Linked DNA regions of Astyanax mexicanus. The protein of the gene in region 2 purifies or fractionates together with the protein of the main gene of each other region. This does not show direct contact. Links are inferred from orthologs where the notes say so. Each region holds a gene or a part of one and is shown on either strand. Other genes may lie near its edges.

Region 1 (8,079 bases), on a different chromosome or scaffold from region 2:
AGTCTTCCTCGTCATCTGAACCCACATCCTCAATCTTGGGCTTGTCCTCTCCCTCCTCCTCTTCCTTCTCCTCCTTCTCAGCCTTTTCTTCTTCAGCCTCATCATCGCTGATCTCCTTGTCTCTCTCCTTCTCCACCTGTAGGACAATTAAGTTTCATTAGTCATTGATTTTTACTTAATTTGCATAGAATTTAACTAACCAAGAAAACAGATGGCTAACACTTTACACCTAATGTGTATGAAGTGCAACACGAACTGCAAAACACTTACATAGAGGGTGATTGGATACCCAATGAACTGAGAGTGCTTCTTGACAACCTCCTTCACGCGCTTGTCTTCGATGTATTCAGTCTGATCTTCCTTGAGGTGAAGGATGACCTTAGTTCCACGACCAATGGGCTCACCTGTAAACAAAACACGGGGGTAAGATACACATGCACATACTAAGGTTAAGCAAAATACAGTTATTTTTAAAGTCTCAATGTAATTTGCTTGCTGTTCTTTACAGTTTACTGTATTTTGCTTGGATGCCATTAACAAAAATTCACCCCCCCCCCCTTCATCCAAATAATCAAGGAGTAATTTAGGCAAGTTTCCAAAACTTACCATTATCAACTTTGACTGTGAAAGAGCCACCAGCAGAGGACTCCCAGGCATACTGCTCATCATCATTGTGCTTGGTAATCACTACCACCTTCTCAGCAACCAGGTAAGCAGAGTAGAAGCCCACACCAAACTGTCCAATCATGGAGATATCTGCACCAGCCTGAAACAAAGGGGGAAAAAATGAATATATATGCAGTCAAACTAAAGTTTTAATCTAGGTAAATGTGATTTGATTAAACCATTTGTAGGCAACATACTTAATATACAGCAAAAACTAATGGATTTCATTTAGAACACCTCATTTGTTTACCTGAAGAGCTTCCATGAAGGCTTTGGTCCCTGACTTGGCAATGGTACCCAAGTTATTGATGAGATCAGCCTTAGTCATACCAATTCCAGTGTCCACAAGGGTCAGCGTGCGCTCAAGCTTGTTGGGAATGATGTCAATCTTCAGGTCCTTCCCACTGTCTAGTTTAGATGGATCAGTCAGACTTTCATATCGGATTTTGTCAAGGGCCTATAAGGAAGAGGGAGAGGTGATTTTTTTTTTTTTTTTAAATGTAAAAAATCTAAAATGTTTAGCTTCCATCAACAAACACTCAACCTTAGCATTAATATCTGTTAGAAATATTTTCTGCAGCCAAAGTATTACAGTACTCGATGACTAACATTACACTTACTGAATATATTATGGTACAAGCTTATATAGTAAAACATTTTTCTTCGTAATATACACCAACTGATTATGAATAATTCTGTATAAAATTGCAATTCCCTAGCCTTGACAATAATAAAAATCTGGCCACTGGTGTTAACATATAGCATAACTATTTTATAAATATAGCTGCATTATGCATTATTTTTTTGTGCATTTTATAAAGCGCTAAAGTAAATTAAAAATAAATTTTAAATTCTGTATGTACAAACTTCACAGAATCCACCTATTGTTTTCAGTGTTCTATTAAATTCAACTTGCTTTAATAAATAAATCAAATAAATAAAAAATATTAAATCAACACTAGCACTTACATCAGAGGCGTTGGAAATAAGCTCCCTGAGGAAGATCTCTTTGTTGGAATAGAAGGTGTTAATGATGAGGGACATCAGCTGAGCGATCTCTGCCTGGAAGGCAAAGGTCTCAGCCTCCTCCTCTTGGCGCATTTCTTCAGGCATCTGGAGAAGAGAAATAACACTGAGTCACACCACCTTAAAGATATTCCTCACTTTCTGTTTCAGTTCAGTTTCCGCATAGCGAACAGCTCCAAGTGACTCGGGGTATTAACTTGGAAGATCTTTTTTCTAACTGTAGTCTGTGGGGAAAAAACCCTACCGAATTCTTTTAAGATTTAGAGGATTATAACAGTGTAAGTGACAGACTATCACTGAACAGAACTTTTGTTAGAATCATAGACTAATTTTAAAACTTACGTATTTAACGTCATAAATACCGTTATGGAGTATGGATTAGAAAACTATTTACTCCTAAATGGATTTTTTTTGTTTGGAACTGCTTCGATAAAAACTCTGAACTCGTCTAAAGCCTGAACTGAAGTTGCTCTTGACCGCCCCCATTCAATTACCCAACATGGCGTAACCGGACCAGCGTACAATGGAGGAGACACGTGCTTGACGAAGAAAGCCGAGAGCCGGAAAACTCCGAGTTTTATATTTATGTTCTGGCTTTTACTAGGAGAGATCACGTTAATTTAAACTAAAAATACGGCCATTAGACAGTTAACTTAGTGAGTTTACACGATTTAAAGTGTGATTAAAGTGTAAGTTACATTAGACACGAATGGAGAAACCGGTCCTTCAAGCCGGAGCACATGGCTTTTAGCTAACGTTCAGATCTTACACGCGGATTTAAAACAGAATTTATTGGTGTTTTGTGGCTGAAAATTGGCATTTTAGCGTTCCATGTAACTTCATTAGCTTATTGATTAGATTGGCTAAGCTGGGTTAGCTAAATCGTCAGTTAGCTAGTTAGCTAGCGCGTGTTTAGGCTGGTTGGCCTGAAATTAAGTTAACGCTAGTTAGCTTAGCGTTAACTAGCAGATAGAGAAGCTAACGCTGTACGGCTCATATAATTAGAGTTACGGTTAATGTTCAGGGGCCTATTATTTCACCTACATTAGTGAACGCCATTATATAACAGAAGTAATAGTTAACTAGGTTAGCTAGCTAGCTAACCAAGCTGTATTACTGAAGCCTCATCACGACTATAGAAACAGTAACCTTCCACCCGTCAGCTAAATCCACCGTTAACTAGCGCTAGCTTAACTCCCCCGGCCCGAGCGCTGCACCTGCTGAAAGAACGGGTAACCACAGCTCATCACGACGAATCCCAACTCACTAACTAATTTACTAAAATAAACACCCAAATAAACCTGTCAGAGGTCGTGTCTCACCAGAATCACGATAAACTAAGCGAGTTTAAGTGTTTTTGGCCGGTGAGCGGAGCTGAAACGCTGAGCTCCGCCGGTCTGTAGTTTCAGTTAACGCTGCTCCGAGTCTTTGTTAGCGGCTCTCCTCCACAGCCGTTCATCTGTCTAAATAAACACAATGAGGCCGCAACACTGCCGGGTTTATCGTTTTAAAGAAGAGAACACGAGACTCAACCGCGTCGTGTGAACGGGAGAACTCACCTTGATTAGTTTCGGTGATTTCTCTTGAAATAAATGCTGCCAAACCCTTCAGATCTCCTCCAACAGTGATGCTGCGCCGCAGCAGCGTATCTTTATGTAACCGTCGAACATGCGGCGTATCACTCCGCGGGCTGGGCTGGGTCTACGCTGGGTCTACACTGTGTTCTGTTTGCACTGGGCAAAGTTAACCTTTCTAATGATGATGTTAATAGACATTAGAATAGACATGTTTATTGTTATAGTATACATTCTGAATAAATAAACGTTCTGTTGAAAAATAAATGTGCTGTTATAATCGCACACATTAATTTTTTAATTCAGATTATCCACTTGCCTGTTATAGTAATGTAAACAACTGTATATTTGTAGTTTATATATTAATATCTTATTCACATTTAACTGCAAATTTATATGTGTGAAGTGTCAGTCAAATGTTTTGAATTGTTTGACTGTATTTCCTTAATAAAATTGAATGTTTTGGGATATTAGCCTGTGTACTAGCTTTGCATCATTTCAGTTTATTTCCCAATCATAATGACACATTTACAAAAGCTGCGTTTTAGCTGGAAGCTGGTTTCAGTTAGTCAATATGGTTGAATCAGGTAAAATCCTATGCTGGCCGTGCATGTCAACTAGCTTGGCTTTGCTATACAATAAAGTTTCCCAGCCTAGTCTTTGACAATATGTTCCTTTCAGTGTAGAATCTCTATTCAAAATGCTGTGTAGTCCAAGACTAGGTTTAATCCAGGTTCGGAAAACTGCTAAAAAAATGGTAAAAATCTAAATCTAAGCTGTTTTAAAATCGTGCCTTTTTAATGGGTCGGAGGTTATGCCCCTGCCTTGATGTCTTACTGCCTTATGTCAACAGCTAGTTCCTTAAGTTGCAATAGTGTTATTTATTAGCATTTTTCACCCAACAAACTACACCTGAAGATGGTAATGATGCCATACTTAATTTCAGACATTCAGGGTGCCTTCCTGTTTTCTCATTCCCTTGTTTCTGGTCAGGGTCATCTGGACCGCAGGCCAGTACCACACACTTTCGTTCATGATTTGGCATACCCAGTTCACCTATGATGTTTTGGAGGTGAGCAGCAACTCTGTCAGTTTTGCTGTTTACCTTTAAAAGGTTTGAACCCACAACGACAGGGTCCATGATACCCGCCATACAGACACTATGTTCTCAGCCACACTGTGCCACCTGAACACAAGTAAACATTAATACTTTTATACACCCATATAGGCAGTTCTCCAGTATTACAAAATAAAAGTTGTTCAAACATAAAATGTTTGTCATGCTTATGTAATATTAAACAATAATTTCTATAACATTAAAAATACCATATCTCTGTCTTTGAGTTTTGCCTTACACACAGACACATCAGCCTATTTGGTCTTTATATAAGGTTCAAGCTCCCAATTGCAGCCATCTACACATTGGACCTGTCAACAGGAGATTGTTGGTTGATCCCCTGTGATGCTACAGCCAGAGAAACACAATTTTCCAAATTGTGTTAGCCTGTACAGGTTCTTTTAGTTAATATAACATAAATAGTTAGTTAGTGTCCTCTTTCTCAGAAGCAGTTTTTCATGTATTCAATACTAATACAAAAAGTGTAATTTACTGTTGAGAAATTGACATTAAGAGGGCTAATCCTAATAGAGAGCATGCCAGACATTATATGAATAATATTCTATTATTAGCTATATTTTATTGCAGCAGACCAGTGCCACCCAAACATTCTCCACTTGGACTGGACTTAAATATAAATAAATAATAAATAAGCACAATTATATATCATACATAACACACATCTAAACATCTGTCTGATATGGTTCTGAAATCATGGTCAGTCCTTTCCAACCAACCAGGGTTGTTTCTTGCAACGTTCCTAAACAGGCCTGCTGGTTGCTTTCCTTTTAAATTCATATCTATTGTGGATACTGGGACACACAGTTACTATTTTTTTTTTGGCTCTAACAAAAAAAAAATAGATTTCCCCTCCCTTAACCTTCGCCACCCTGGGTATGGTTTGGTCCACTCCCTAAACCATAAGAGGGGATCTTAATGGTATAACAGCTCTCATTGGATGTGCAACATAATTGCCAACTTTTTTAATTTACTTATTTATTCCTGCATCTTTACTTCAGGTCAGAAGTTATCTTATAATGTGTCAGCTACTATTTTAGTACTACTATATTAGTGTCCATACGTAGGACTGTTTAAAAAAAATAATTTTCATATAACATAATAATAATAATAAAGCATTGATAACCCTGTGTTAAGATGCATGGAAATGTCTACTTTAATATTTATAAATAACATATAAAGAGCAGCTATTATCCACACATTATCGATTTATGATTACAATACTATAAATTATATAAGATCTGCAGTAAATTAAATATACCCCACTCTGTACAGCATGAGATTCACCTAGGCTAAATAATATGAGTGGTTAGACTGAACGAATAGTAATAATATATATTTTTGGAAGTAATATTCTTGTATTGTCTTATTTAATACTAAATAACTAAGGGGTGGCACGCAAGAAACGATTAAACGCACAAAAGAAGCGAAGGATCCGCTGCACTCGTTTTTGTCACGGAGGGATATCAGCGCTCCGAGGCGGCGGTGCTTCGGCTCTTTCTAGCACTTTCCATGAAAAACCCGCCTAAAAGTGACGTCACGCAGCCGTCAGGAACACGCGTCTCTCCGGCGCAACTTCCAGATTTACCGACTTAAAAGTTCCTCACCGAGGAGGAAAATAAACTCCTAATAAAATAACGCCTAGTTATAAAAGAGTTCCCTACCTGAACTTGGACCTCATCATCTCATAAATATTCAAGTGACACCAAAAAAACGAATTAATGCTTCAAAATCACACAATATTTTATTTTAATATTTTTATGTGTATTAATATATTGTCTCACAGAGGGGAACAACAATACGCATTTTCCTGTGAGATAATATAAGATGAGGTCAAAATTAAATAAATTATTTATATCTCTAATGCGTTAAAATACACATATCTGTTGTTTATTTATACGTTATTTGATTTAAAAAGGCAACTTTTATTTTGAAGAAAATTATTGCAAATTAAACTCTAGTATAATAGTATAATGTATAGTATAATGATTCTAATAGTCATTATAAAACTGCACCACAGCTGTAAACAATACAATAATACATTGAAAGAGCGGTCCAAATGCCTAGATTTGCATGTTGACTGTTGGTTTCTGTAAACAATGCAAGCTGAGAAATACTTGGTACATAGCAAGGGGTCAGATAAATGCAGTGGTGTGAAAAAAGTGTTTGCTTCCCTCATATTTTTAATTTTGTGCATGTTTGTCACTTTTAAATGTTTCAGATCATAAAACTAATTTAAATATTACCCAACAAAAAACAAGTAAACACAAAATGCAGTTTTTGAAAAACGTTAATGTTTTTAATAATAAGGGAGAAAAACTGAAGGCCAGACATCTCCTTCAGGATTTTTGTTAGATGGCAGAATTCTTGGTTCCATTTATCACAGCAAAACTTCCAGGACCTGAAGCAGCAAAAAAGCCCCAAACTACCACCACCATGTTTCACTGTAGGTATGATTTTTTTCTTATGCTGTGTTACTTTTACGCCAAATTCTCTTGCAAATTTAAGATGAGCATTAATGTTCTTTTTGCTCAGCAGTCATTTTTGTCTTGGCACTTTGCCATGCAGGTCATTTTTTCCTTTTTTATGGTGAAGTTATGAACGCTGACCTTAACTGAGGCAAATGAGGCCAGCAGTTTGAGGTATGAAATCTCTAAACTTTTGAGTATCTATTGGTCTTCTTGGCTTTGTCAGGCAGGTCTTATTTAAGTGATTTCTTGATTGAAAACAGGTGTGACAGTAATTAGACCTGGGTGAAGCTTTAGAAATTGAACACAGATGTAATAAACCACAGTTAAGTTATGTTTTATTGATAAAAACTTTCATTCAAACAACACGTTATGTTTACTTGTTTAATTAATCTTGTTTACCTTATAATTTTACATACATTTTAAACTCTATTTATAAAATACAGTACAGTGGTAAATATAAGGATTATTATTGAAATGTATAACATATTTTTTCTGACTAATTTCAGTGACTGATTTGTTCAGGGTTAAATGCTGTGGGTTTTTTAATCTGCAGACAACTTGAGCACTTTGATCAACTATTTATTAATGCTATTAATTATTTCATACTCTAAAATGATTGCATTGTGTGGGTGTGGTCTTGAACTAGCATGTTCATAAAGTGAACTTGTTTTTTACATGCAGGGGTTTTTCACTATAGCCTCACAGGCATAAAGGTAAAGTGCTTGATTGAGAACAGGTGTGACAGTAATTAGACCTGCGTGAAGCTCCAGAAATTGAACGCATAGCATATGATGCACACTAGCACATATGCAGTACTCTCTTAGGTACACCATGAGAAACATTTATTGCTTCGTAATAGCCAAAAGCAGCTGCCTTAAAATACATCCTTTCTACCTCACCTAATTTACTCTTGCAACACAAATGGGCAAATATGACTGCTGTTCATTAATCTGGAACACAAATGCTGTAGATTGTAGATTGACTCTGGTCATGCATGGAAGCTAAAAGAACAAATTATAAATACATCACACACTTTTGCTCTTTGAGCAGTGCCCTTGTGAAAATTAATAAATTGTGCTTGTTTATGTGTGAGACACACACAGTAGTCATACACATACTACCCATATGCCTCTGGAACTGTTTAAAGGTGACATGAGGTGACATCAACGATAAGCACCCTGTCCAAAACAGCCCTGTTGAGGATTGT
Region 2 (8,528 bases):
GGAAAACAACTAAACAACACAACATCTTTGTTTGTGCCTCTGAGGATTTCTGGCACAAAACCAATGCATTACATTATGGTATACTTTGGAAATTCTAGCGTACAGCTTGAGAAAGACTTAGAGTTGCTTAGAGGTTGCCTTGGGTCTTTTTGTGACCTCACAGACTATTACAAGCCTTGCTCTTTGTTGACGGACCACGTCTTTGGAGGGTAATAATGAATAAAGAATTTACTCCATTTGCAAACAATGCAAAGAGTCCAAGAACTTCAGATATGGTTTTGTAATTATTTCCAGCCTAATGACCAACAACGTTTTGATTAATTAACAATTAATCAACAATGAAATTTGGAGCCGACACATTTTCATGTCAATTTAAGGACATTTATGTCCACTATTTGTCGCACCACCAGTAGATAAAAAGGCTTTAGATTACAATGATGCAGAAACAGTCTATTCTTGCTGAAGGCTTTTAAGCATCTTTGTACCTAGGAAATATCACTTAACAGCCATTTCAACTGAAATTCACAGAAATTGCTGGTGGTGACCTGCACTTCTTCAACTGGCTTGACTTCTTAAGACTGAGCTTGAGAGCTGAGTTGTCAAAAGCAGCTGAACAGCCCAAACCTCGGCTAGTGTGAAATATACTCTCGCAACGAATGCGGGTTAAGAAAGAGGATGTGATGAAAGCAGATAATGGGAGAACACAGAGAGAGAGACATATTTTGTAAAAAAAAAAAAAAAAAAAAAAAGACAGGAAATGTGTGCTTGTGTCTCCATGACTAACCAGCCAGCATTACCCAAGTTAGCCAACTAGTACTTAAACTAGCTAGCTAACTAACGACTATAAAGCAGCATCAGTCCATTAGCTAGTTAGGTTAACAGGGTTAACTAAAAGATTAATTAACTTTTAATGAAAGCAGACAAAGGAAACTAATTTAGCTAACCGGTCACATCACTGGTAGCTGGGCTAGTTTAAACCTCAAAAAAGAAGAAACTAGCTTAAGTCGAACCAGTCTCATCATGAGACTTTTGGGCTATTTTACATCCTCTTAAGCTACTTTACCCAAGCCTACACCACCAGCCAAACCCCAACTAACGTTAAATAGCTAACTGTTAAAACTAGCTGGGTTAACATTTCTATTAACAACCCTGTTAGAGGGAACAAAAAATGGGCACGTGCTAGTTAGCGTAAGCAGGTGAAAACACACGTATTCGCCCAGGTTACAGGAAAATGTAGCTAACTAACCCTAACTATTTAGCTAGCTAGCCTAACATCCAGAGAAGTTACCCAAGCTAGCTAACCTAGATAGCATAGCTAGTTAACTAGCTAGGTTAGCTAGCAGTCTCCACCAAAGCCGCTGCCTGGCCCTTTCCCCACTCTGTGTCTAGCTAACTAGTTAAATAGCTAGCTATCCAGCTTCTGAACAGGTGGTTAGATAGCAAGTTAACTAGCACAGCTAGCTTTAGGTTACATGACAACCGTAATATCTGCTCAAAAGCAACTGTTGGCTGGCCCTTTCCCTACTCTGTATCTACCTAACTAACTTTAGTTAACTAGCTTGCTATCCACCTGCTGAATAGCTGCTGGATAGCTAGTTAGCTTAGATAGCTTTATGTTACATGACAAACGAATTATCTCCTCCAAAGCAGCTGTTGTCTGGCCCTTTTCCCACTCTGTGACTAGCTGACTAGTTAACTAGCTTGATATGCACCTGCTGAATAGCTGGTTAGCTTAGCTAGCTTTAGGTTAAGTTACATGACAACTGAATTATCTCCTCCAAAGCAGCTGTTACCTGGTTCTTTTCCAATTCTGTATCTAGTTTGCTACCTAATTAACTAGCTTGCCATTCACCTGCTGAATAGCTGGTTAGCTAGTTAGCTAACTAGCTAGCTTGCTATCCACCTGCTGAATAGCTGGTTATCTAGCTTAGTTAGCTTAGCTAGCTTTAGGTTCCATGACAACCGTATTATCTACTCCAAAGCAGCTGTTACCTGGCCCTTTCCCAACTCTGTGTCTAGATAACTAGTTAACTAGCTTGCTATCCACCTGCTAAATAGCTGCTATTTAGCTAACTTTAGGTTTTATAATAAACTGTATTATCTCCTCCAAAGCAGCTGCTGCCTGGCCCTTGTCCCACTCTGAAGCTACGTTAGCTAGCTCGTTAACGCTAGGTTAGCTAGCTAGCTCTGACACAATCACCACCATCACCTTATGTCTGTTATCTCAGCACCAACCAACATCTGCTCGCTCCCTTCCTGCGCTGCTGTGCTGTTCTGGCCACGACCCACTAAATCACGATCCTGCACACGCACACACACACACACACACACACATTTTCTGCCCATTCTGGCAAAAGCTGAGGCTGTTTGGGTGGCTTTTAGTTAGCTAAGCTAACTAGCTAACCTACCAATCTAACCTATCTAGCTAGCTAGCTGGCTAAATGACAGCTGAATGGTGGGTGACTGCCGCGGTGACTGCTGCTCCTCTGACAGGTCCATCTTTACAGCTAGGCGAGCTTGGTCATGTTCAAGGTTAGCTAACCTAACTAGGCAGGAGCAGAAGCAGCAGTTCCGCCAGCCAAGCTACCAAAAAACAGCACAGGCTATCTCTGTCTCTGTGGCCTTTCTTTTCTTTTTTTGCGTCTATCATAAAAAAGGAGAACAGGTGGATGTATGAATTTATGGTCTCCTGGAGCCCTTAGCTATCTATCTATCTAACCTATCTTTCTGTCTGTAGGCTTGCTTGCTTGCTCCCTTGCTTCCTCGGGGAATCCCCCCTCTCCTCCTCCTCCTCCTCCTCTTCCTTCTCCTCCTCCTCCTCCTCCTCCGCCGCCTCCTCCTCCCGCGATCCGAGCGAAGATGAGCCCTTTCCTGGAGGAGCAGGGAAGCCGCTGTGAGTGTGAAGCGCTCCGCTTACCTTCCCTCGCCTTCAGGAGAACGGTGTTGGCCACGATATTCTCGAGCTCCATGTTTTCCTGGGCTGCAGGCCCAACCTCGTCGCCCGCCTGGGTTGGCAGTGAGTGAGTGTGTCCTCCCCCACTCCCCCCCTCGGCGGAGCAGGCGAACCTTGGATGACTCTCTCTCTCTTTCTCTCGTTCTCTCTCTCTCTCTTTCTCTTTCTATCTCTCTCTCCCTCTCCCCTCTCTCTCTCTCTCTCTCTCTCTCTCTCTCTCTCTCTCTCTCTCTCTTTCGCTCTCCGACTCTCCGCCCCAAAAGCGCTTCGTCGGTTCCTCTACCGGCTTGTTTACCAGTGAACCCCACCTACACGTGAACACGACAGCGGCAGCAGCAGCAGTTCTTTCTCTTTTTTCCTTTTCTTTCTTTATTTTTACTCTACCTCTCTCTCTATCTCTCTCTCTCTCTCTCTCTCCCAGTCTACCTCTCTCTCTCTCCTGTCACTCGCTCTCCTGTCAACAGCTCAGTTGCGCCGGACTCGCTATTTCCTCATTTTCCTGCGCAGAGTGCTGCTGCTGTACTGTAGACACACGCACACACACACATAACCTAATAGCTAGTAACTAGAGTACATACAAACAGATATATAGGATATACACAGTACACTTGAAAATGTAACGTACATGTAAAGTGAACAAATTGTACATAGTTTTCATTAACAAAGAAAAATCTGAAAAAGGTGGCATGCATGTATATTCAGCCTCCTGTACCTTGAACAACATTTTAAAATGGAAGGAGTATGGCACAAATGCAGACATTGACATGTCTATCCATCTAAGGATATGGCTATACGTTTACATTACAAGGCAAATTCAGCAAAAAGATGAACGAATACCGATTTGACCGTTCATGTGGCATGTACGTGGATCAGACACGTAACCGATTTAGGACCACATATGAATGTTACTCGAATTTAATTGTAAAAAAAAAAAACAGATTTGGCAGGTTCACACAGCCATGAAAAAATCAGATCTGAGCCACATTGAGCAAAAAATCAGATTTGAGCATGGTAATGTGAATGTAGCCTAATCTGACAGCCCAGGTAAGGAGAGCTCTAATTTGATAAGCAGCCAAGATACCCATGGTCACTCTTGCGATGCTGCAGAGATCAAGGTTTTCTGATGGGAGAAGTCATGTACTCCACAAATCTGATTTTTATGGGAAAGAAAGCCACAAATAGTATCGTTTACAATTTGCCTCAAGTCATGTAGGCGGTACAGCAAATATGTGGAAGAACGTGATCAGATCAGATGTTGAACTTTTGGCCTAAATGCAAAGCGCTATGGGCGGCGGAAAACCAACACCGCACCCTGAACACCCTGAACACACACCATCCCCACCATGAAACATGGTGGTGGCAGCATCATGCTGTGGGGATGCTGTTTTGTTTAGCTGTGACAGAAGCTGCTGGGTCTGAATACAAATGTACACCATACTTTACATATTTGTATTTATTAAAAATTGTAAACCTTATGTATCATTTTCTTTTCACTTCACAACCACTTTGTGTTGGTCTGTCACATAAAATCCCAGTAAAATACATTTAAGTTTGTGGGTGTAACTGTGGAATGGTTTAAGAGGTATGCATATTTTTAAAGGCACTGTATATATGCAAAGATGGACCTAGGCATTTTATGGTCCATGGGCCATGTTCTATGGTCCTTTGCCTTTCTATAACTGGCCCTCAGAAACTCAGAAACTGGAACTGGATTTTACTACATTTTTCAAGCCCAAAACAGACTAGATTGTTCTCACTGAACAAGAATAACGTACAGAAAAACAGCAAAACATGTAATTAGACTACAAACCAAATAGTTCTTTTTTTAAGTTTTAATTTAATTTAATTCAGTTTTTTTGCTGCAAACATATGTTAATAGGCCTGTCACAATAATTACATTATTGAATAATCATACAATAAATGGGCATGACCTCAATAATATTTGATATAATCAATAATCATTATTACTCAATATTGTTTGTTGTGTTTATTTGCATGTTTGTTCATACGTATACAGGTCTGGGAAAAAAAGAGACAACTTAAAAATAATTTATTCCTTTAGGTTTACCAGAAAGGAAGATGAATGACCACAGCCATCAAACCAAGCTTAACTGCTTGAATTTCTGCACCAGGAGTGGCATAAAATTATTCAAAAGCAGTGTTTAAGACTGGTGGAGGAGAACATGCCAAGATGCATGGAAACTAAAATAAAAAAACAGGGTTACTGCACCAAATATTGATTTCTGAACTCTTTAAACATGTTCATACTAGACATCTCAGACTCCCACTTTAAGTGAATGGTACTAAACAATAAGTAAATATAGTGGCCTGCTATGAAATACGCTCTTTCAGGCTGATAGGGAAGTCTAATCAGTATTTTAAAAAGTGGCAAAAATTCCATGTCCAAATGATCAATCACCTCTGTAAAGGTACTAGCAGTTTTTGTGCATCTTTGTTTTTATAATTACTGTATTTATTATGCTATTGTTATAATTATTCAAACTGTAACTGTCTTATCTGCTACTCTGTATTTTGAGGAGGTTTTTATTAACATTTTATATTAAATATAAAATGTTAAATAAATGCTGATCATCAAAAATTATATTGAGAAACTTAAACCTGTGTGCAGAATTTATTTTTAGTTGTTTTTTTCCAACACAAGGATAAACTATAAATTCCCTACAGACATATTTCCGCCTTATTTTGACGAACAGCGCCATCTACAGGAACAGTGGAAGAAGCGCTTCAGTCATCTCACCCGCGGAAAAAAGGCTCTTCTTTTTTCAAACTTGATTATATGCATGAACGAAAACTGAGAGAAACAGGAAGGGTGTGTATGACAAGCCGTCTTAGCATGAAATTACACCAAGAATACCAAAGAAGTCACCTCTGGGTCAATATTAATATAACGTGTTCTTTTTGTTTTGCAGCATAGTTATTTACATTTCATGCAAACACTAACATGTAACAATATATTATACATTATTAAATATTTGCTATGAATAAATACATTTTTACAAATATAGACAAATCCTGACTTTCACTTTAAAGTACTTTTTTGCACATTTGATACAGTTTTTTTCCTGCGCTTGCAATGCCGTCTGGTTAAGTTGAGTAAATATTTAAAATAGTTAACTAATACAAAAAAATCTAACATTTTATGATATCTGGAATAATTTTTCATTTGTCAGAATTAATTTCTACAGGTAAAAAATAAGTTATATAAATTATGTATTTATCTGTGTCTGGAAAAAAATGTAAGTAGTAAAAAAATTATTATAGATTATTTTTTATTACAAATAGATTCCATCTAAATAAATGCTAACATGTATGACTTGTCAAAATCACATTGAGAAAATGTTATTCTGGTAATATAATAATTAATAATCTGAAGGTCTGAGTTTAGTATTAGTAAAATATTCATAGTAATTTGTAGTGTTTTATAACTTACTTTAGTAACTTATTTTGTATAATTGTATTTTGTATTATCATAATGAATGTTACTTTACATAATAAACCCGATAATGTCATATTTTGAAGTATAGCTTCTTGTTTGACAATATTCTGTGTAAAAGTTGTGTATGTGTGAAACAACAATGTTCATTTTACTCAAACATAAACCTATAAATAGGAAAATCAGATATATATCATATATATCATATTTTTTTCCAGAGCTGTATGTATAAATGCTCAAGCTTAATAAAATATTTTTTTGTTTATAATAGCGTGTATTCTTGGTTCTGTTCTGTAGAGGGCGACTCTCAGTCGGACTGGCCGCTCTCAGCTCTGGGGAAGAAGCCGAGGCTCGTTTCCGCTTCTCCTGCACCCAAACACAACACGTGTGTGCGAGAGAGTGAGAGAGTGTGTTACTGTTTATTTAGGGTTTAATTAATCTGCTGTTTAAAACTCGCAGCGATGGTTAAACGGGCCAGCAAACGCAACACGTTCGATTACAACAAAAACCGAAAGAATCAGAAGAAGAAGCTCAAGAAAAAGGAGAGACCGACCATCGGATGGTGAGTTCAGCCCGCTAATCCCAGCTAACTAACCCCAGCGCCTAGACCAAATATAACTAACTAACGTATATAACTAACTAATCCCAGCGTCTAGACCAGCTAACCTACTAACCTCAGCGCCTAGACCAGCTAACTAACTAACTAACCCCAGCGCCTAGACCAGCTAACTAACTAACTAACCCCAGCGCCTAGACCAGCTAACTAACTAACTAACCCCAGCGCCTAGACCAGCTAACTAACTAACTAACCCCAGCACCTAGGCCAAATATAAATAACTAACCCCAGCGCCTAGACCAGCTAACTAACTAACTAACTAACCCCAGCGCCTAGACCAGCTAACTAACTAACTAACCCCAGCGCCTAGACCAGCTAACTAACTAACTAACCCCAGCACCTAGGCCAAATATAAATAACTAACCCCAGCGCCTAGACCAGCTAACTAACTAACTAACTAACCCCAGCGCCTATGCCAAATATAAATAACTAACCCCAGCGCCTAGACCAGATAACTAACTAACCCCAGCGCCTAGACCAGCTTACTAACTAACCCCAGCGCCTAGACCAACTATATAACTAACTAACTAACTAACTAACTAACTAACTAACTAACCAGCCCCTGCGCCCAGACCAGCTAACTAACCCCAGCGCCTAGACCAACTATATAACTAACTAACTAACCGCAGCACCTAGACCAAATATAACTAACTAACCCCAGCACCTAGACCAACTATATAACTAACTAACTAACCAGCCCCTGCGCCCAGACCGGCTAACTAACTAACCCCAGCGCCTAGACCAGCTAACTAACCCCAGCGCCTAGACCAACTATATAACTAACTAACTAACCAGCCCCTGCGCCCAGACCAGCTAACTAACTAACCCCAGCGCCTAGACCAGCTAACTAACCCCAGCTAACTAACTAACCCCAGCGCCTTGACCACCTAACTAACTAACCCCTGCACCTAGACCAGCTAACTAACTAACCCCAGCGCCTAGACCAGCTAACTAACTAACCCCAGCGCCTAGACTAACTAACTAACCCCTGCACCTAGACCACCTAACTAACTAACCCCTGCACCTAGACCACCTAACTAACTAACCCCAGCGCCTAGACCAGCTAACTAACTAACCCCAGCGCCTAGACTAACTAACTAACCCCAGCGCCTAGACCACCGAACTAACTAACTAACCCCCGCACCTAGACCAGCTAACTAACCCCAGCACCTAGACCAGCTAACTAACTAACCCCAGCACCTAGACCAGCTATATAACTAACTAACTAACCAGCCCCAGCGCCTAGACCAGCTAACTAACTAACCCCAGCGCCTAGACCAGCTAACTAACTAACCCCCGCGCCTAGACCAGCTAACTAACTAACCCCCGCGCCTAGACCAGCTAACTAACTAACCCCCGCGCCTAGACCAGCTAACTAACTAACCCCCGCGCCTAGACCAGCTAACTAACTAACCCCCGCGCCTAGACCAGCTAACTAACTAACCCCCGCACCTAGACCAGCTAACTAACTAACCCCAGTGCCTAGACCACCTAACTAACTAACC

What was found.
Region 1: the proteins of grk6 (region 2) and hsp90ab1 purify together in Homo sapiens (affinity purification with mass spectrometry; 3 studies listed by BioGRID and IntAct, with this or other methods). This does not show direct contact. The link is inferred for Astyanax mexicanus from reciprocal best matches to the Homo sapiens genes GRK6 and HSP90AB1.

Annotation. Positions count from the first base shown.
Region 1 is NC_064408.1:85,811,151-85,819,229, reverse strand, and holds the start of hsp90ab1 (heat shock protein HSP 90-beta), read right to left. Parts: upstream 3,385-8,079; 5' UTR 3,252-3,384; intron 1,780-3,251; coding exon 1,636-1,779; intron 1,124-1,635; coding exon 917-1,123; intron 767-916; coding exon 607-766; intron 405-606; coding exon 271-404; intron 137-270; coding exon 1-136. UniProt on the Homo sapiens protein: Molecular chaperone that promotes the maturation, structural maintenance and proper regulation of specific target proteins involved for instance in cell cycle control and signal transduction. Undergoes a functional cycle linked to its ATPase activity.
Region 2 is NC_064424.1:17,667,132-17,675,659, forward strand, and holds the start of grk6 (G protein-coupled receptor kinase 6), read right to left. Parts: upstream 3,441-8,528; 5' UTR 2,970-3,440; coding exon 2,918-2,969; intron 1-2,917. Other genes in the region: nop16 (nucleolar protein 16), read left to right, coding at 6,869-6,969.